Saccharomyces cerevisiae S288C: one gene and its partners. The main gene of each other region encodes a partner of the protein of the gene in region 3 in a complex. Each region holds a gene or a part of one and is shown on either strand. Other genes may lie near its edges. The genes, in order: RSM26, MRP10, MRPS17 and MRPS9.

Region 1 (3,093 bases), on a different chromosome or scaffold from region 3:
GCTAATAACACGGCCCTTTGATCCAAAGTTAGTACTTGAGAACTTAGCATCTCAGTAGGATAAATATTATCAAAGCATCTCTGCGAATCAAATCTAACAACATAAACACCAGTATCGGTAAACATTTCTCTTCCTAAACCAACCCAATTTCTGTCTACACTCGCCATTATCTTACCATCAGCATCTGTTACAGGAAAATCAAATGATAAGAAAGGTGCATCTATCTTACCAAATTGGTCAAAAGTGGATCCTTCTACTCCATCTTTCTGGAATAATTCGTAACGACGCCTCCAGAGATGCCAGTTCTGAATGGTCTCTCCTACTGTCGTTCCTTCTTTACCGTCGTGATAGTGAGTGGAGTCACTGCCATTATCAACATACGCGGAAGGAGGTATGATAGTCTTTATATGAGAATTGATGAACGAAAAGGGCCTTTTAATCGTCATTATTACATTTCCCCAATTATCAAAGACATCTACCAAAAAAGGACGATGTAGACGATAAAACTGCCGCATTATGGCCTTTGTTATAGAAAAATCTCTTTCCATCATTGATGCTATTTTGTTTCCGTTCACATCCATTATGGCATACCTATTAGCCTGCTCGAAACCTAGAAAAACGTTCATAAATTCTATTTGCCTTTCGATAATAACTGTCGGTTCATTAAGTATCGTAGTAGCTATAGGATCATGTACTTTTATTATCCCGCTATTGCTATTTTCTTTAAATGCTTTTACTGATGGCGCCTTCGTTATTTGGTTCTTTTCACGAATTACTCTCCTAAATGGACCGTTTCTGATTACTTTACCAGAAGAAACCGTTAATGTTTTACTCAGTGTACTGAAATTTCTCATACATGATCGGTAAGTTAGAAATATTGCCGTTCTATGCATGTCGGTGTTATCCTTTATGTTTGACCTTTAATCTTCTTTTGTTTTGTCTTTTTTCATTTCGTACTTTTCAAATCCTTATTGCCGGTAGGCTTACAAACTTGAATGAAGTATATAACGAAGTCAATGAAACCTCTCCCATACTAGGTTCGGAACCTGTTAAGGGGAACAAGACCGCGCACTTGTTATGAAAATTCTTCCTATAACTATATTGAAAGCTATTTTTCCACATCGGCAGACAAACGACTGTCCAGACTTAGTAAAGCTCTTGGTCGATTTTGTACATTGCCTTTCCTTTACAGCTCCAAGATATTATATATATTTTTGACAAGGTAATCAATTGCCCCACAAATCTTCCATATAAAAACCTATATATGCTATTAACCGAATGGCAATTCCCTCTATCTCATATCTCACCTCTACAGTAATCCTTCCGTGGTATCTGGTCTATAGAAATGGGTACTGTTTCATTTAAACGTGTTATCACTTGATCCAATGGTTACCATCTGACTTTGGCATCAATCCCTTCTTAAAAAGTAACCAATCAATGATATGCGATTGTTTATGAAGTCCATTCAACAAACAATGGGAGTTTGGCCGAGTGGTTTAAGGCGTCAGATTTAGGTGGATTTAACCTCTAAAATCTCTGATATCTTCGGATGCAAGGGTTCGAATCCCTTAGCTCTCATTATTTTTTGTATTTTTTTTTTTCACTTCCCATCTTTCCAAGAATCTTAGGAGAGGTGCCGCAGTACTTTTTTGGACTGAGCAAGAAGTATCGCAAAGCATGGAAAAGTAAGAAGGGTATAGCAAAAGTCTTTTCACAATAAGAGGATATTTTGCAGGCAAATTTCTGAAGACCACATAATATCGTCTTCTTGGCGCAACTAAGACGCAGAGAAATGCTTGTTTTCAAAAGGGGTATTCACGTAGTACCTAAACTACCAAATTCTAAGGCCCTACTGCAAAATGGAGTGCCTAATATACTCAGTTCTTCGGGATTCAAGACGGTGTGGTTCGACTACCAGCGATATCTATGTGATAAGCTAACGCTGGCGACAGCGGGACAGTCTTTGGAATCATATTATCCATTTCACATATTGCTGAAAACTGCAGGAAATCCATTACAGTCAAACATCTTCAATTTGGCGTCCTCTATCCATAATAACCATTTATTCGTGGAGAACATTCTACCTTCTGCTGTTGAACATGGCACTAACTCGAACGCCGTTGTGAAGACAGAGCCTTCTAGGCTTTTTTTATCCAAAATCAAAGATTCATTCAACGGCAGCGATTGGGAAGTAGTGAAGGAGGAAATGATTTACCGTGCTGAGAATGAAGTCTTGGGACAAGGCTGGTTATTTCTAGTTGAAAACAATGAGAAAAAACTCTTCATATTAACGAGCAATAATAATGGTACGCCGTATTATTTTCCCAGGAACCAGTCATTTGATTTAAACAGTGCGATATCCATCGATGAATTTGCTACCTTGAAACAAATGAAAGAACTGATAGGAAAGTCTACTAAGTTGAATGGTAAGGTTCAAGACTGGACCATGCCTATAATCTGTGTCAATCTGTGGGATCATGCTTATTTACATGATTATGGCGTTGGTAACCGGTCCAAATACGTGAAGAATGTTCTAGATAACTTGAATTGGTCAGTGGTAAATAATAGGATATTCTCTGGTATATCGAAGTAATGAAAAGAAAGGAAGCGATAGCCTCTTACCCTCATATGTAATTATAAAGGTATCGGGTAGAAGGGGATCTACCAAAATCTTATATACTGTAAATAGTTTTATTTTATCCTCTCGCTCGTGTTTTAAACAACCTTAATGGCAATTACTTTATCATTTTCATCTTTCAGCATTGTGGCCCTATTTCTATCGCATAGGGGCTTCAAACAATAATAGAGCAAGCTTTCGGGCATTCTATGGAACTCCCAATTGACTGTTTCATCACCTTCACTCAATTCGTATAACGTAATGACTTGATTCAGTTTTCCAGAGTCTTCGAACCACTGTAGTATCAAAGAAGCCCAACTGTCTAAGCTCTTCCATAATATAAAATATCTCGTAGTGGTGGTATTGCTGCTTCTCCTACCACTTTGGTCAATCGGTAAGCATTTGCCTTCTTTGGTCATTTGCGACCAAATTTCATCAATAAATACCTGTGATACAGATCTTTGGATGTCCTCATT
Region 2 (2,685 bases), on a different chromosome or scaffold from region 3:
TAGACACACAGACCCATTTGGTGAAGCATTAAAGCCTATTCAAAGAACAGATTCTAACTGGCCTGATTTTATGAGGTTGCAACCTCTCTTACACTGGGACTTAACCAATATATGGAGTTTCTTACTGTATTCTAATGAGCCAATTTGTGGACTATATGGTAAAGGTTTCACATCAATCGGCGGAATTAACAACTCATTGCCTAACCCACACTTGAGAAAGGACTCCAATAATCCAGCCTTGCATTTTGAATGGGAAATCATTCATGCATTTGGCAAGGACGCAGAAGGCGAACGTAGTTCCGCTATAAACACGTCACCTATTTCCGTGGTGGATAAGGAAAGATTCAGCAAATACCATGACAATTACTATCCTGGCTGGTATTTGGTTGATGACACTTTAGAGAGAGCAGGCAGGATCAAGAATTAAGTACGGTTTAACGGAGGAAAGAAAATAAAATGCTGATGTTACTATTAGATTAAAAGTTTATATATTTTCCGTTGAGACTATTTAATTTGTATATACAAGGCCATGACTTTAATATTATCAAGTTTTCATTCTTGCTGCTTTTGGATATAAAATTAATCATGGGGTTTACCGTTGATCCTATCATACAGCCTAGCGGCGTGATAGTTAATATTGCTCTTTTGAACGTTGTTTCTTTTGCCGAGGGCACTTTCACTAGTGCAACTTTTCAATTCCGTTACTAAGCCAGCACATTTAGGGCTCATATGACCATATGAAGACCAGCATTGTAATAAGTTTGACATTAAAACAAGACATTTGTTCGCTTCTTGCCTAATGATAGGTTTCTTCACTTTTAGTCTGGGAAGAGGGGGTAATCTATAAACTGGTGGTTTTCCGGACATTAATGGGCACTCTTTATTTTAGATGGAAGTTTCGGCGAGCCCTCGTGTTGCTATGGTAAGACTTTTGTCTCACTTAAAGCCTCAAAGCTTTTATATTCTGCCTAAAATACTGGGAAAAGAATTAATATGTAAAGTCCGCATTACCCGGAGAACGAACCTGTCATCATATATAATAACCAAAGATGTGCGTAAGGGAGAAATTTTGCAATGAGATATCAATGTAATGACATGTTTTTAATACGTACACACTAAATAGATGATTTTTAATTAGAGGAAAGGAATGGAAAAGAAGTAGGTGTTGACAAAGGCGCTGAAGCATTGGCCGACAAAAAAATATTAAGAGTAACCACATTCGACTAGATGGTGGTTATAACAAAAAGAGGAAAAACCCTGCCTCGAACGGGTGAAGAGAACATGGGGTAAAAGAAAAGAATACATGGAACGAGAAGGGAAATAAACACGGATCAATGAGTTGTATGAATCAGATCACCTTGGTGGGAAGATGACTTCTCCGGTTAAGCAAGTGATCAGATCATCCTTTTCAGTGTAAGCTCTTGCTACAACAACATATTTGCCAGGTGGAACCTCGCCTGGGATCTCAACTATTTTCTTAATGTTGTATTCACCCGGTTCAATTGGACAGGATAAGCCTTCGATATCGTTATCTTCTAATGTTTCACACAAATCAAAAGTCTGGGATAACAGTCTGATGTATCCTAGACGGACTTCAACGTCGATATATGCCCCCTCTTCTATAGTTTCAAAGACCTCACCGTTAGCAGAAATAGTCAAATTTTCGCCACGAACAGGAGGGTTAGGGTCCAAATTGACCTCTTTGATTTCCACAAGTTGCTTGTCTAGAATGTCACATTGGTAAAGTGGAGATTCGCCGTTAATTGGTTTGGTGTTTGGTGGGGGAAGGGCGTTGAATATGCCAATCACACCCGCATTGACAGCAGCTGTGTAAAGAAATAGCAAGGCGAATAGAGCTTTCAAGCTGTGGGTCATTTTGGAAGGCGTGCTAGCTTTGAAGGAGAAGATTTAATATGGTTATGCTTTTCTGCCTTGGCGAATCAGCTCTTTAAGTAGCGCCAGTCTTTTATATTTCCCCTCCCGAGTGTTGATTAAAGTTTTTTTATTATCAGGGATTCCACCCTCTTTCAATAGATCCAAACCGTGGGAGGTGACGTTTCGGCACGATGAACGTAATAATTATTGTGATAATAATATAATGTAATATAACATAGTAGTATTATATATATATATATATATATATATAAATAGGAAAGAAAGGACAAGGACAAAAAGGAAAAGAAAACTGCAATTGTTGAATATGTAGTTACTAGTTCTCATTCCTTCTTTTTTTTTTTAATTTTTTATTTGGTCATTTTGACCATAGTAAATGGAATGCTCTTAGAATGTGCTTGTTGTGTATCGTATCGTAGCAAATGGCGTAATGAAAAAGTTTCTGATTTTTGTAGTCTTTTTTTTATTGTGAAAATTATTTTTATTCGTCGAGTTAGGGAGGGCATGCCGTCGTGTTATAAGAAATAGCCGGCTCTTTGATTATTATGGTTTGCCGTGGATTCTCTTATGTAGTCATCGGGAACAGCCGAGAAAATTTTGAAAGTAGGTTCCAGATCCTCATCGACCTTCATTACACTCGCGACATTACCACATCTATAACAGTAATTTGGCGCGGACCACACGGTTACAACGTCCTTTTCAGGAAAATGGTACTTGAACCCCTCCATAACCAGTTGGTGAGCCCGGGCAATAAGGTTCAGTCCATTAACGTGGTTAAACTCTCTAGCAACT
Region 3 (2,984 bases):
CTCGAAGCAACATTAGCCAGTAAAGCTTGAGCGGTACATATATTTGAAGTTGCCTTATCACGCTTGATATGTTGTTCTCTTGTTTGGAGGGCCAACCGCAAGGCCGTCTTGCCTAAGCGGTCTTTAGAGATACCGACAATTCTACCTGGAATTTTTCTGTTTAATTTATCAATAACAGCGAAAAAAGCAGCATGAGGACCACCATAACCCATTGGGACACCAAATCGTTGAGAGGAACCCAGGACGATATCAGCACCGTAATGAGCAGGTGGTTTTAGAAGTGTCAAAGCCATTAAATCTGAGGCCACAGAGAGCAAAGACTTGTGAGAGTGTAACGCATCAGATAACTGTTTCATCGAGTCAGGCGGTAAGATTGAACCATCTGTCGCTGGATATTGAACCAAACAACCAGATACGTCGGGGTTCTTTAAAACATCCACAGCTTTCTTGATATCCGAACAGTCAACTTCAATAATTTCAATATTGAACGGCTTGGCTCTGGTGTGAAGGACACTCTTTGTTTGCTGGTGTAATTTTTTATCTATTACGTATTTTAGTTTCTTTTTTCTGGAAATATTGAATGACAAGAGCATAGCTTCTCCAGCCGCTGTACCCTCATCCAACAATGAGGCGTTCGCCACAGGCAAACCAGTCAAATCTGAAACAACCGTTTGAAAGTTTAATAGCGCTTCTAGCCTACCTTGAGAAATTTCGGGTTGATAGGGCGTATAAGAAGTATACCATTCTGGACTTTCTAGCAGGTTTCTTTGTATAACCGGTGGTAAAATCGTACCGTAGTAACCCTTACCTATGAAATTTTTAACTTTATAGTGGTTCTTATTGGCAATCTTTTCTAGATGTTGAAGCATTTCTTGTTCACAGAATCCCTTACTAGGAGCTTCTAGTTTCAAGGGTCTTCTCTTCAAAATATTGGGAGGAACGAGCTCTTCTATAAATGCGTTTAAATCGCTATAACCCATTGTTTTTAACATTTTCTTAACGTCGCTAGGAGAAGGACCTAAATGACGTCTAGCAAAAGTATCTAGCGGTCTATCAATGTTTTTCAAGTCAGGATTGAAAATCCTGCTGTACTGTGTAGACGTTATGTCTGTAGCGGCTGTTTTGAGCAAAATAGATTGAGAATGGAATGATCTAGTCCTCGCTAATGAAACATAATTGGTGCTTGACCTGACAGTAGCCCTACAAAGGAGAGCAGTCACTCTTGTCCTAAGCATGTTATCTTCCTGGTATTAGGAAACGTTTTTCCAATAAACTGTGGTTAGTTGATGGTTAGATCGCGCAGCAATCAATACAGTAAGATTGGTACACACGAGAAAGACTAATTCACTGGAACTTGAAGAGAAGAAAATTGTGCCACTCGAGCCTGCTATATATACATCCATTTATATTCGTTGGAGATCTTTCGACTAGCTTATCAAGGTCCTTCACAGCTCAATGCTGACTTCGATGACTCCTCTGAGAGTCATGACTCCGAAAAGGAGGAGTCTATACCTCAAGAAGAGTCAGAGATGTCGGGTAACGATTCAACCGGGTAACATGATTGTTATTTCATAAGATTAGAATTCTGAAGCAATTTGGGATTGTGCCAAACCAATGCGAGCATCAAACTGTTAGAGGAAATCCACAAATAAGGCCAAACAGAAGTAAACTCAGGGAGTTGAATTCGGGTTAGAGATTTCAAAAGTCAAATCAAGATCAGTTAAACTGTAATGGCTCGCCAAAATTTTTTAGGCTTGGTCGTCTCCCAAGGGAAGATGCAAAAGACGGTTAAAGTACGTGTAGAAACAAAAGTCTTTAATAAGAAAATCAACAAGGAGTTATTTCATAGAAGAGATTATTTAGTGCATGATGAAGGTGAAATATCAAGGGAGGGTGATTTAGTAAGGATAGAAGCGACGAGGCCGCTTTCAAAGAGGAAGTTTTTTGCCATTGCAGAAATTATTAGAAACAAGGGTCAACAATTTGCATTATACGAATCAGAAGCTCAGTTAAGCGTTGCAAAAGAAGAAGCCCAAAAGGCAAAAGAATTTTTGGATAAAAGATCAGTGAGGGAGAATAAACTAAATGAAAAAACAACCCTTTTACGTGATATTAGGACCATCCAAGATGCTTTATCTAGCGGGTCAACGCCGAAAGAGTTATTGGAGATTAAACAAAGGTACGGCATTCAAGATTTTTCACAAGAAACAGTGAGGCAACTTTTACAGTTAGACATCTCTGGATTGGAGGTTAATTTGGAGAAACAAAGAAGTCTCATTGATCGTATTCAAACGCGATTATCCGAATTGTTGTCGAATGATCTAAAATGTGATCAATTTTTGAAGGATCATGGTGTTGAGGATCCTTTGACCTTGAAAAAAAACATCAAAAAAAATTTGTTAAGAAAGCACGTCATGATGGATATGCAACAACCAAGCCAGTAAATAAAAGAAAGAGGAAAGCCGAGTGTCATATTTTCTCAACTAAAGCACTACACTCTGTAAATATATACAACTACAAGACTTCGTTACGTAAATAGTAAAGTGTTATGTTTTGACTTTAAAATATTCTAGTGAAAAGAACGATGTTTTTGATTTTCTATCGTTTAACGCATTTATATATTTTCAGGCAAGTGATATCGAAGATGTGAGTACATCGCTCGTCCCCATCGTCAAAAACAAAAGTAAATAAAAGAGCTCTGCTCTGATTTTACAAACAAGAAAATTCCAAGGAAATAGTCCAAGTTTTATATGACCCCACCTCATTTTTTTTTATCTCTCATAAAAAAAAGATGCATATGCTGGATATGTTTGGAAGAATCCACATATGACTCTACATGGCTACAGCACACGTGCGGTTGCAACTTACAAATTCATAAACGCTGCTATATAAGATGGCTCTATCAAATGCATGTTGAACTTTTTCTTCCGAACACAGTGGACCTACCAAAGGATGCTGATTTACCTATAATCACCTGTTTAAAA
Region 4 (2,955 bases), on a different chromosome or scaffold from region 3:
AAGAAAATTATTTAACTACATATCTACAAAATCAAAGCATCATGCCTTCGCAAGTCATTCCTGAAAAACAAAAGGCTATTGTCTTTTATGAGACAGATGGAAAATTGGAATATAAAGACGTCACAGTTCCGGAACCTAAGCCTAACGAAATTTTAGTCCACGTTAAATATTCTGGTGTTTGTCATAGTGACTTGCACGCGTGGCACGGTGATTGGCCATTTCAATTGAAATTTCCATTAATCGGTGGTCACGAAGGTGCTGGTGTTGTTGTTAAGTTGGGATCTAACGTTAAGGGCTGGAAAGTCGGTGATTTTGCAGGTATAAAATGGTTGAATGGGACTTGCATGTCCTGTGAATATTGTGAAGTAGGTAATGAATCTCAATGTCCTTATTTGGATGGTACTGGCTTCACACATGATGGTACTTTTCAAGAATACGCAACTGCCGATGCCGTTCAAGCTGCCCATATTCCACCAAACGTCAATCTTGCTGAAGTTGCCCCAATCTTGTGTGCAGGTATCACTGTTTATAAGGCGTTGAAAAGAGCCAATGTGATACCAGGCCAATGGGTCACTATATCCGGTGCATGCGGTGGCTTGGGTTCTCTGGCAATCCAATACGCCCTTGCTATGGGTTACAGGGTCATTGGTATCGATGGTGGTAATGCCAAGCGAAAGTTATTTGAACAATTAGGCGGAGAAATATTCATCGATTTCACGGAAGAAAAAGACATTGTTGGTGCTATAATAAAGGCCACTAATGGCGGTTCTCATGGAGTTATTAATGTGTCTGTTTCTGAAGCAGCTATCGAGGCTTCTACGAGGTATTGTAGGCCCAATGGTACTGTCGTCCTGGTTGGTATGCCAGCTCATGCTTACTGCAATTCCGATGTTTTCAATCAAGTTGTAAAATCAATCTCCATCGTTGGATCTTGTGTTGGAAATAGAGCTGATACAAGGGAGGCTTTAGATTTCTTCGCCAGAGGTTTGATCAAATCTCCGATCCACTTAGCTGGCCTATCGGATGTTCCTGAAATTTTTGCAAAGATGGAGAAGGGTGAAATTGTTGGTAGATATGTTGTTGAGACTTCTAAATGATCTTTTGTAACGAATTTGATGAATATATTTTTACTTTTTATATAAGCTATTTTGTAGATATTGACTTTTTACGATTTATTTGTAACAATGAGAATTACTCCATTTCTGAACTTCAGTAAATAGCGAGTGATTCTGTACTTTGCGAGAACCGGTGGACATTTGGTATTTTGCCTTACAAGAACAACCTATACAAACGTTTCAATATCTAATTCTTTGTAATCCATTGTTTTACGAGACATATAATGTGATATATAGATGAACTTTACGTATAAAATGATATATTTAAAACTAGCAACTGCGTGCGTAAGACAAACTGAAATAGGCCATTTACGGAAAAGAAATTTAATAATGTCGACTGGAAACTGAAACCAGGAGGAGTAGAAATTGGTTAAATTGATTAGCTAAAATTTACTCGTTGTGGACAGAGTTTGAGCCAAGCGGAATGTTTTCAAGGCTTTCTTTGTTTCGAAGGGCAGCTCTGGCTCCTGCCCCTATGAGAATGTCTTTTAGGACTATTTATCAAAAAACCGAGGATGAATTGCCCAGAAGGATCGTCCCAAAGCTAGCCACATTTTATTCGGCGAATCCTAACCATGAAGATCGTATTAATCGACTCGAAAGACTTCTAAGGAAATACATAAAACTGCCATCTCAGAACAACAATGAAGCACAACAAACAAAAGCTCCTTGGATTTCTTTCGATGAGTACGCTTTAATCGGCGGTGGTACGAAATTAAAGCCTACGCAATATACTCAGCTACTGTATATGTTGAATAAACTTCACAACATTGATCCTCAACTTACTAATGATGAAATCACATCCGAACTATCCCAATATTATAAAAAAAGTTCAATGCTTTCCAATAATATCAAAATCAAAACTTTAGATGAGTTTGGAAGAAGTATAGCCGTTGGAAAAAGGAAAAGTTCCACTGCGAAAGTATTCGTTGTTAGAGGTACAGGTGAGATATTAGTTAATGGTCGACAATTGAATGATTACTTCCTTAAGATGAAAGACAGAGAATCAATCATGTATCCACTTCAAGTGATCGAATCAGTTGGAAAGTACAATATTTTTGCGACAACGTCTGGAGGCGGACCTACGGGTCAGGCTGAATCAATCATGCACGCCATTGCGAAAGCTTTGGTTGTGTTCAATCCATTATTAAAATCCAGACTACATAAAGCTGGCGTCTTAACAAGAGATTACAGGCACGTCGAAAGAAAGAAGCCAGGAAAAAAGAAGGCAAGAAAGATGCCAACATGGGTCAAGAGATAGTCTTAGTGCATCTTGTTACCTCAATTTCGAACGGAAGCGTGCGTGCTCTGAGTTTTTTGACACATGCCAGAAGAAACGTTATATATTTTGCATACAACGCCGCCCAGCATTAGAAGCACAACTCTCGTTCGTTATTCCTGTAAATAAAGTTATATGTATTCGAATATTGCTCAGTTAGTATTTTCTTCTACTTACTGCACATAATACTTCATCTTTTTTTTCCTCTCACCCGCAAAGCAAAGGGGCCTTGCAGCAATGACTCAAATTCCATTGGAAAAAAGAAGGAGATGATAAGATGCAAATCAGAATAGATTTTACTATGACCGTTACATGTAAAAAGAGTCATAATATAAACCATAAATACTACAAATAACACCGGGTTCAGGCATATAAATAAACTATTCTCCTGTAATATCCCACAATATTTTGTTATAACCCAGACGTAATAGCCTCAAGCGAGCATCCCTAAATTTCTGCCATGAAGCTGATCCCAATTATTTTGAATGCTAAGAATCTCAGTGGGATGGCTGGATCCATATCAATATGCTGTTGGATTGTTGTGTTTGTACCACAGATTTA

Evidence for each region.
Region 1: MRPS17 (region 3) and RSM26 share a complex: the UniProt entries of both Saccharomyces cerevisiae proteins name them as parts of the mitochondrial small ribosomal subunit.
Region 2: MRPS17 (region 3) and MRP10 share a complex: the UniProt entries of both Saccharomyces cerevisiae proteins name them as parts of the mitochondrial small ribosomal subunit.
Region 4: MRPS17 (region 3) and MRPS9 share a complex: the UniProt entries of both Saccharomyces cerevisiae proteins name them as parts of the mitochondrial small ribosomal subunit.

The regions. Positions count from the first base shown.
Region 1 is NC_001142.9:616,442-619,534, forward strand, and holds RSM26 (mitochondrial 37S ribosomal protein mS42 RSM26), read left to right. Parts: upstream 1-1,792; coding exon 1,793-2,593; downstream 2,594-3,093. Other genes in the region: AIM25 (Aim25p), read right to left, coding at 1-893; ESCRT-II subunit protein VPS25, read right to left, coding at 2,716-3,093. UniProt on the Saccharomyces cerevisiae protein: Component of the mitochondrial ribosome (mitoribosome), a dedicated translation machinery responsible for the synthesis of mitochondrial genome-encoded proteins, including at least some of the essential transmembrane subunits of the mitochondrial respiratory chain.
Region 2 is NC_001136.10:370,430-373,114, reverse strand, and holds MRP10 (mitochondrial 37S ribosomal protein mS37 MRP10), read right to left. Parts: upstream 868-2,685; coding exon 580-867; downstream 1-579. Other genes in the region: FAD1 (FMN adenylyltransferase), read left to right, coding at 1-427; NPC2 (sterol transporter), read right to left, coding at 1,354-1,875; type 2A-related serine/threonine-protein phosphatase SIT4, read right to left, coding at 2,409-2,685. UniProt on the Saccharomyces cerevisiae protein: Component of the mitochondrial ribosome (mitoribosome), a dedicated translation machinery responsible for the synthesis of mitochondrial genome-encoded proteins, including at least some of the essential transmembrane subunits of the mitochondrial respiratory chain.
Region 3 is NC_001145.3:635,751-638,734, reverse strand, and holds MRPS17 (mitochondrial 37S ribosomal protein uS17m MRPS17), read left to right. Parts: upstream 1-1,730; coding exon 1,731-2,444; downstream 2,445-2,984. Other genes in the region: GCV2 (glycine decarboxylase subunit P), read right to left, coding at 1-1,235; YMR187C (uncharacterized protein), read left to right, coding at 2,751-2,984. UniProt on the Saccharomyces cerevisiae protein: Component of the mitochondrial ribosome (mitoribosome), a dedicated translation machinery responsible for the synthesis of mitochondrial genome-encoded proteins, including at least some of the essential transmembrane subunits of the mitochondrial respiratory chain.
Region 4 is NC_001134.8:533,721-536,675, forward strand, and holds MRPS9 (mitochondrial 37S ribosomal protein uS9m MRPS9), read left to right. Parts: upstream 1-1,539; coding exon 1,540-2,376; downstream 2,377-2,955. Other genes in the region: alcohol dehydrogenase ADH5, read left to right, coding at 42-1,097; RTC2 (cationic amino acid transporter), read left to right, coding at 2,855-2,955. UniProt on the Saccharomyces cerevisiae protein: Component of the mitochondrial ribosome (mitoribosome), a dedicated translation machinery responsible for the synthesis of mitochondrial genome-encoded proteins, including at least some of the essential transmembrane subunits of the mitochondrial respiratory chain.